2 linked regions of the Canis lupus familiaris genome follow. The protein of the gene in region 1 purifies or fractionates together with the protein of each later gene. This does not show direct contact. Links are inferred from orthologs where the notes say so. Each region holds a gene or a part of one and is shown on either strand. Other genes may lie near its edges. The genes, in order: ING2 and SAP30.

Region 1 (4,502 bases):
ACGTTATCCCGTCCTGAGAGTCCCTGTGGCACAACCTCGGCCCCTCCGCTTGGCCGCCGCGTCCAACACTGCGCGGAACCTGAGCCCTGAAAGTCGACCGCACGGAGGAGGACCAGGGCTTCTCTGCTCGCCTCCCCGCTTCCCGCCCCCGAGCCCCTGCGGTTCTCGGCCTCGGGGCAAGGACTGATGGAGGCGGGGGGCGGGGCCACGTGAGGCTCCCCGGTTCCGACACCCCGAGGAGGGGGAAATCCTTTTCTAAAGGTTGTGTGTTGGACAAGACAGGTTTCTGGGGGGTGGGGGGTGGGGGAGCGGGAGGGGGCAGATGCGGGCGACACGGCGGAGTCCCGGGGGGCCGGGCCGCGGACGCATCCTGCAGAGGAGCCGCGGCAGACCCCCCCCACCCCCGCCCCGGCCCCGGCCCGGGGGCAGGGCGGCAGCGCGCTGAAGCCAGGAGGGAGATTTAAACGGCGAGGACAGGAAGAAGCGGCTGGGGCCCGCCGGGAGCGCCGCCTACCTCGCCCTCTGCCCCCGCCGCGGCGTCCCTGAGCGCGAAGGCCGCCGCCGTCGCGGGAGGGGAGGAGGAGGAGGAGGAGGAGGACGCCCGGCCCGCGGGCCGCGTCGAGGCGGCGGCCTGGCGGGAACACGGCCGCCGAGCATGCCGGGAGCCGCGCCCGCTGCACGCTGGGTAGCGTAGTTCCCGCCGGCCTTCCTGCAGCTCGTAGCGAGAAGCGGCCGGACGCCCGCTGCTCTTTTAAAGCCCCGCGACTTGCCGCGCCGCGCCAGGGCGCTCCCCCCCACCCCCAGAAGGAAAATGTCGGTAACAGCGGGCCGAGGGACTCGCACCGAGAGTCCCCTTCCCCGTGGGAACGACGGAAGAAGGAGCCAGCCGCCTTCCCTCCCCGGTCCCATTCAGACACGGAGCGAAGAGGCGGGCTTGACAGCGCTGCCCCTTTAAGAGGGGGCGGGGCGCAGCCTGCCGTTTGGCCGTCCTCCGCACCCTCCCCCCGCGGCCGAGAGCCGACAGACCAATCGCCCGGGCGGCGGAGGGAAGGCGGGAGAATGCGAACCCTCCGGTAGGGCGGTAGGGGCGGGCCCCCGGCCTTATTAGGAGCGAGTCCTGCGCAGGCGCAGACGCGGCCGCAGGCGGAGGGGCGGGGGCAGCCCAGTGAGAGACTCTCCGACAGGCACGGAGGGCGACTGCGAGGAGAGGGGGGCGGCGAGGGGCTTGTCATGGGGACCCGGGCCACGGGACGGCATTGCTAGCGCCGGGGCCTCCGCGGGGGGCGGCGGTGTCCACGCCCGGGACCGCGGCGCCAGCTCCGCCGGGGGATCCCCGCTGCTCTAGTCCTGGGGAGGGAGGGGAAAGAGGAGGGAGCCCCGCTCTCGCCCCGCCCCTGGGCTTGTTCCCGCGGGGGCGGGGAGTGAGGCTGCTTTTGGGGGGAGTGGAGATCGGGGGACTCGGCTGTGCCCTCCCGAGCGGCTGCCGGCGTCCCCGCGGCGCCGGGCTGCCGAGCCGAGGAGCCGCGGCGGCCGTGGCTGGTGCATGTGTGGCTGCTGGATGCGGAGGCGGCGGCGGCGGCGGCGGCGAGGAGCAGCAGCGGCGGCGGCAGGATGTTAGGGCAGCAGCAGCAGCAACTCTACTCGTCGGCCGCGCTCCTGACCGGGGAGCGGAGCCGGCTGCTCACCTGCTACGTGCAGGACTACCTCGAGTGCGTGGAGTCGCTGCCCCACGACATGCAGAGGAACGTGTCTGTGCTCCGAGAGCTGGACAACAAATATCAAGGTAGGGGGCCGCGCGGCTGCGAGTGCGGGTCCTCCCGCCGGCCTGCGGGCGCCGTCGCTCCGAGCCTGCCCTGCCCGGGGAAGTGCCACTTTCCATTTCTCCAGTGACAGGCCCCCCCCCCCCCCCGAGCGCACGGAGGGGCTCGGCGGAGGGGGACGGAGGAGCGGGTCTGGAGGCTGGGCTCGCGGCCCCCCCTCCCCCCGCCGCGGTCGGCGAGGACTTCTGTGGGGTATCGCGGGTGGGGGTGGGGGCCGCTCGTCAGCCCCCGCTGCAGACCCAGCGGCTGCAGCTGGTGTGCGGAGGAATCAGCCATTTTAAGCAGCATTTGTTCCGGCGCTTGCCTGCCCCGTGCCGCAGACCCTCCGGCCCCGGCGAGGGAGCGTGCAGCGGGCGGGGGGTGGAGGGAGTGAGCGGCCGGCCGCAGCCGGGCTCCCGCTGGTCTCCGGGGCCTGGCTTTCCCCACCCCCGCCCCTCCGGCCCCCACCCCGGGAGCAGATGCATTGGAACGTGCGGGGGGGGGCGGGGGAGCAGCAAGAGAGGGCCGCGAAGGCGGACTCGGGGAGGTCCCTCCCTCGGCGCTCCGGCTCCGGGCTCGGGCACCGAGTACGTTCCCTTCTCTCGCCCCGGGGAAAGTTCCGGGCCGCGGCCCTTCCCCGGCGCCTACAGCCAAATGGTTAAAAGGGGAGGGGTCCCGGCGGGGGAAGGCAGAGGGGTGTGTGTGTGGCGGGGAGGGCCTCCCGGCCCTGGGGGCGGGGCCTGGGGCGTGACGTAGGGCGTGGGCGGGGCGCGGGCGGGCGCGCTGCCGCCCGCCTCGAAAATGGCAGGTCGCGGGAAGGCTTGGGCGGAGCTGGCCGGCGGGGCGCTGTCGGAACCTTGCGGACCTTAGCTCCTAACCGGCAGGGTCAGTGCTGAGGTTTGGGACGTGTTTGTCGTGGTTTTTCGACCCTTTCTGAACCAACTCAGGACGAAGAAACGCTCAGCTACCGGGATCATCGCGGACCCTGGTCCCGCGTAGGTTCCGGGGCTTGCGTCACTTCCGGGCCCCAGGCGGAAGTGGGTGGTTGACTGGGCAACCGCCTGGCGTCCCTCAACCCGCGGGTCCCTCCTTCGGCAAGTTTGAGTGATGAGGCAAAAACGACCCTGCGTGGTCAGACCCGGGAACCCAAGGCAGGGAGTCAGGCTTTCCGACAGAGCGCACCATTTGTCATCCAGTATTGGTGGACCTTTCGTCTGCCACTAGGAGGGGAGAAATTTATATGGGGAACTGTTTTGCGTTTAATGACCCTGATGGGGGACTAGACCTTGGACGTGATGTGGAGACAGCCGTACGGACTTGAATAAGATGACTTGGGACCCCGTCCTCTGTTTTCTAGACCGGTCACTAATGTTACGATTTAGTTTCAAAGGAACCCACTTCTGGGGTGACGTTTGCTGGCCTGCAGCGTGTTAGAATATTTAGGTGTCTCTGTGCTTCCGAATCTATACTTTATTTCTGCCTTCTTAACCCACACGATAGGCTTGCTGATAGGACCGGTCTCCGTGAGGGGGAAGAGAATGAAAGAGTGGTTACTTACCGTGGATCATCGCTGTGCCAGGTCCAGAACATTATCTCACAGTAATCCTATGAAGTAAACATTTTACAGACAAGTTAAAATTCACGAGGAATTGAAGTGACTTGTTCACTTAAGTAGGTGGGGAAGTAGGATGCCTACTTCTCGCGCACATCCTTGTTTTTGTACCATTATTAATTTTCTATTAAAACCTACTTGATAAAAGCCCCCCCCCCCCCCCAGGTATTTTCTGCAGACATGGAGCACAGACGTGAATTGTAGCCTAAGAAGATACATGTGTGCTTGAGAATCGTCGATTGAACATTTTTTGTTTTTCACATAGTAACTCCGTGAAGTTTGTAAAGACTGCATATTTTTACATTTCCTTAAGGACACCTATTTACAAGAGTTCAGCCATTTTCATTTGAATTGGGAGGGAAAATTGGTTACAGGGAAATCTGCCATCCTGACCATCTAGAATTGTCCTGAGTGGCTTTGGTAACATGAGAAACACTATTAAGCTCTAAAAGATCGAGAGATTATAAATGTTTTTGGCTCCATTAAGATTGGTGACTTTCAAGATTAATATAAAAACAAGGATCTAGTTTTCAGTCTGTGCCCATGCTTACGAAGCTCCACTTGCACAGTTTTATGTTGATTAGCTTTATGTGCTTGTGTGCTCCGGGATCCAACTTCATATGGTTTTTATTTCTTTGCTAGTTCTTATGTATTTTTTGTTTTTGCGTTTGATACTTACCGCAATATTTAGTGATATAAAATATAGGAAGTCAAAAAAGTTTCTCTCCTACCTATTTGAGACAGTTTCAGAAATTACTGAAGAATCTTTAAAAGTAACCTTAAAAACTTAGAAATAGGGAAATGAAGACAACAGTTTCACAATTGAAAAAAAGTATTTGTTATGGGATATGGTTATTAGAGAACTTCAATATTTGTTCCGGTATTCTTGTTTGTAATTTCTTGGGTAAATAACCATTGAACTAAAAATTAATACTTAATTTCAAGTGCCTTCCGTGGAGCTTAGTAGAAAGTGCTTAAACAGCAGAGCCAGGTGTACATACCTGGCAGAGTTCAAAGTCTAGGGTTGTTACCTCTTGACCTTCATTTTCTTCACATACAGAAATTATACATACCTTCCTCATTGAGCTTGC
Region 2 (4,247 bases), on another chromosome or scaffold:
CTTCATAAATACCTCAACAAGTTGTGCTTTATTAAGTCCTGGTCTGGTTGATAGTTTGAAGTGTCTTTTGTATCTCCGAAGTGTATTTACTTGTAATTGGTATAAATCAACCTAGAAAAAATAAACATGTAAGAATTAGTTCATGCAATTTTTAAATTGTTATCTTTGATATGCATAATAGCATTTCAATTTTGGTACAACAAAAATGTAATTAAGTAACAAAAATTACATTATTTAATTAATTCCATTCCATTACTTCTTTTACATAATCAAAACTACAAATATATAGAGCACTTCAATCTTTTGAAGGTAAATACTGAGAACTGGGAGCAAAAAAAGAAGGCAATAGAGGTATAAGCATTGTGAATTGAAAACATAAGTCAAACTACAACTGCCTATTAATTGGCTATATTTAATTTTGCTTTCATTTTCAGATTTTTCGCATTAAGTATTTTTAAAATTTGTTCCTATCTTTTAATAGAAGTTTCAGAATGGAATACTTAGGATTTACATTTAACATACAGAAACTTTACCTCTGGCGTATCGATATCTTGAACAGGTGAATCTCCTCCATCATCATCACTCCCTTTTCTCTTTCTTCTGTTTCGAACACTCTGAATTAAGTTTTTATGATAATCACAAATGTAAAGATGCCTTGCCTAAAACAAAAAAGTTTCACAGACTACTTATTATTATGTAACGTGTCTACGTATTAGTAAAATACATAGGGCACAGTGAATTATTAAAAATAAAAAGTCAAAATAGGCCATTGTTAAGACAACAGCATATTTCTATGCTTAAGTCCTGTATTCAGTTAGAACATACCGTGTCTGACAATAGGGTTAAGAGGATTGGAGAGTGGGGTGGGGAGGAGTGAAAGGAAGGAAGGAAGGGAAGCAGACAAGCAGAATGAGAAATTGCAATTGTCTGGATTTTTTAATTAAACTGTAGTGAGGGTGAATTAGATTTGTTAGGTCACGCTGTTTTTTTAATAAGTGGAAAGATGATGTTGCCCACAATTCTGCTACTGACAGTATTTTCTCTAAAGAGCACATTTTAGTAGCTTCATATCCTTTCTCAGTACTCAAATTATAATCCAGATACAAAACTATCCATTTTTACAAACGAGCTACCGATTTCATATACTACTTATATTTACATCTGAATTACAAGCTTCTGAGTATTTAATGAATGTATTTGTCTGTATTACGTTTTTTTCAACCAAAGGCAATGTGAAACTATTCAAGTTTACTTGAGAAGTGTCTCCCAAGCATGACTGAAGAACTCTTTAACAGGCATAATAGATCACAAACTTTGCAAAAGCTTCAATTAAATGTAGTCTTGAGCGCTGTATGGTAACATCTGAAATACTGGGCTGCATTATTAACAGTTTAAACTCCTTTAAAAAACAACAACAACAAGCGATTAAAGACTAAGGCTTTGAAATTTAACTTGTAAACGAAGTCCAAGTTAAAATTATGCAGGGCGTATGCTAGGTTCTGGCATCTTGTTATCCATTCACCGCCAGCCAAAACTCCGCAAAGTGCCAATGGTTGTTTCTGAAAACCTCACAGATGGTCAAAGAAACACAAGAAACGGACGTGTACAACAAGGACGGTAAAGGAAATCCGGATGCTGCCGAAGGGGTGGCAGCGCCGCAGAGGCAGCGGGCTCCCCACATTCCCGGCAGCTGCGCTGGATGCTGGCGGCGTCCACCAGCCCGGCGGTCTGCACCGCGCGGGGTGAGCTCGGCTCTCTTCCCTCCGCAACCCGGCGGACGAGCAGAGGAGTCGGTCTCCACCGCGGCACCAGGGCCTCGCTTGCAGGACTACACTTTTGCCTACAGCCGGGGGTTGCTCCCCGGGGCCACGCGCCAGCTTGGGCAGCAAAACAAAGGAGGAGCGGACAGGCTGCAAGAAAACTACTCCGGGCCCTCCGAGCCGCGGTGCTCTTTGTTTCGTGTCCCGACCTCAGGGAAGGAGGAAGGGGTTGGACGGCGAGCAGGGCGGACACCCGGAACGGGGTGGGGGTGCGCGGGGGTTGGGTAGGAAGGGTGGGGGTGGGCACGCGAGGGAGAGGAGGCGGGGGGGGGGCGGGGGGAGCAGCGGACCCGCGGCCGGCTGGCGTGGGTCTGCGGGGGAGGCGGTCCGAGTTGCGGCGACTTTGTGGTTCGCGTCCTACCCGAGACCACGCGACGGGCTCGCGCCACAGCCAGGTCTAGGGGACCCCCGAACCGTCCGCCCCTGAACCCCGGTCGGCACCGCTCCGGGAGCCCCAGAGCAGGGCAGGGCATGGCCGTCCCGCCGTCACTCACGCTCTTCTCCAGCTCGATTTTCACCTTCTTCTGGGAGATGCTCTTCTGGATCCTCTTGCTGAAGCTGGCGTTGCCCGCCGCCCGGCCGCACCGCTCTCCGTCCTCCCGCAGGCAGCACAGCTGTCCGGGGCCCGGCCCGGCCGCCCCCGGGGGCCCAGCAGCCGACACCGCCCCGGCACCCGGCACCTCAGCCCCGGCGCCGGCCCCTGCCCCGTTCCCGGCCGAGGCGGCCGCGGCGGCGGCGGCGACCACGGCGGCCACTGCGGCGGCCGCGTCCCCGCCGCGGCTCATCTCCTCAGGCGTGAAGCCATTCATGTCTCCGCGTGCCGACAGAAACCCCCGCTCGGCTCGCCGCTCCCCCTCTCTGCGGAGACTCCGGGGTCTCCGCGGGGTCCCTCAGACACCTGACCCCGCCGGGGCGATTCCTCCAGCGGCACCGCCACACACCAGGCGTCCCGGTCTGCTGTTGTCCGCTGGCGCCGGGATGGGGGACAGCGTTTGGGGTCAGAAGCCAGAACCGGGCGGCGCCAGGAGTTAGGACTCCGGTCACTGTCACATGGAGACGCTTCAGCAGTTGGACCCTGGCGCCTCCGCCTCCCTCCGGCCCCCCGACCTGCGCACGCGCGACGAGCCCTCTCCTGCCCCGCCCCTTCCACTGTGTGGCAGGGCACCATGGGAATTGTAGTTCTTTGAGGGGGAATCACTCTGAGTTCCACCCCGAACTGGGCGCCTTGGAACTACTTATGCTAGCATGCATCGCGCGGCGACGGGCAGGGCTTCGGCTGCTAATTTATTTATTTATTTATTTTAAGTCAGTGGGAAAACAGGGGCGTGTGGTTAGGGGTGGTGATGTTTTCTCGCTTCTAGTCTCTCCCAGGAAGTTGCTCCGTCTTTCGCTACCGGGATTCTGCAGTGTTGGCGTTCTACTAGACAAAGCGGCCACCCCGCTCCTGAGGCGAGGCGCAAAATGTTCTGGGCGGGAAGCTAGGAGGGAAGGTGCGGCGTGAAAAAGTTTCGGGGCCGTTTTCTTACTGTGGAAAAAGAATTTTTGGTGTGGCCATGCTTTTGTGGGACACCCAAACCAAGGAGAACTCGGGGAAGCTGGCGCTCTTCGGGTCCGGGAGATGCCGCAGGTCCCGGGTCACAGTTCCATTCATTGACACACCAGCTGAGGCAAAAACGCCCTTCCGACCTCGACCGTGACAGGGCCGCTTCCCAAGTGCCTCAGCTGAAGGCCGTTTTTAAATCCTTGCACGTTCCTGCGAAGATCGGGTTTCATTTTGGGGCGATCAAAGTTGGCCGCTTCCTGCGGTGGAGCGGCTTCTTTCCGCCTCCACCCCCACCCAACCTTCACCGTTTCTCTTCTAAAGGCCCTAGAGAAAAGTGGGATCCAGGACCCTGTCCAGGGGGACGTGGAGCCCCGATATAGTTAGCGTGAGTGCTCCTCGGAAACTTCCCGGCGTTCTCTCTGCGGAGTGAAAGGCCAGAAAGAACCCGCATTTCCTGGGGTATCCGCCCGCGCCTGTGCGTGTAGAGTGCGTGCGTGCGTGTGTGTGTGTGTGTATCCGCCCGCGCCTGTGCGTGTAGAGTGCGTGAGTGCGCGTGCGTGCCCGTGGGCGCGTGCTTGTAGGGGGCGGGGCCGGGGAATGGAGCGGCTGATAGGAGCGCGTGCGCCTTTGCCGGTTGCTGCGCGTCACTGTGACTGTATCGGATGTGTCCTGTTTAGCCGTCCTTTGGCTTAAATAAAAATACGAACCAGGTTCTTTTGCAAGTTCTTTCAGGCTTGCTGAGTGAATTTAGTGATAGATGATTTTTTAAAAAAACCTAAATGTCATCTGCCCTGAAATTCAAAGCCATCCATTCCGTCTGTGCTTTTCAGTTCTAGGCTATGGCAAAGGGAAAAACAAAAAACAAAAACAAAAACAAAACGTTA

Evidence for each region.
Region 2: the proteins of ING2 (region 1) and SAP30 purify together in Homo sapiens (affinity purification with mass spectrometry; 3 studies listed by BioGRID and IntAct, counting the BioPlex papers as one, with this or other methods). This does not show direct contact. The link is inferred for Canis lupus familiaris from reciprocal best matches to the Homo sapiens genes ING2 and SAP30.

What each region holds. Positions count from the first base shown.
Region 1 is NC_049237.1:47,782,752-47,787,253, reverse strand, and holds the start of ING2 (inhibitor of growth protein 2), read left to right. Parts: upstream 1-1,499; 5' UTR 1,500-1,611; coding exon 1,612-1,783; intron 1,784-4,502. UniProt on the Homo sapiens protein: Seems to be involved in p53/TP53 activation and p53/TP53-dependent apoptotic pathways, probably by enhancing acetylation of p53/TP53. Component of a mSin3A-like corepressor complex, which is probably involved in deacetylation of nucleosomal histones.
Region 2 is NC_049246.1:24,120,223-24,124,469, reverse strand, and holds the start of SAP30 (histone deacetylase complex subunit SAP30), read right to left. Parts: upstream 2,944-4,247; 5' UTR 2,630-2,943; coding exon 2,315-2,629; intron 660-2,314; coding exon 534-659; intron 112-533; coding exon 13-111; intron 1-12. UniProt on the Homo sapiens protein: Involved in the functional recruitment of the Sin3-histone deacetylase complex (HDAC) to a specific subset of N-CoR corepressor complexes. Capable of transcription repression by N-CoR.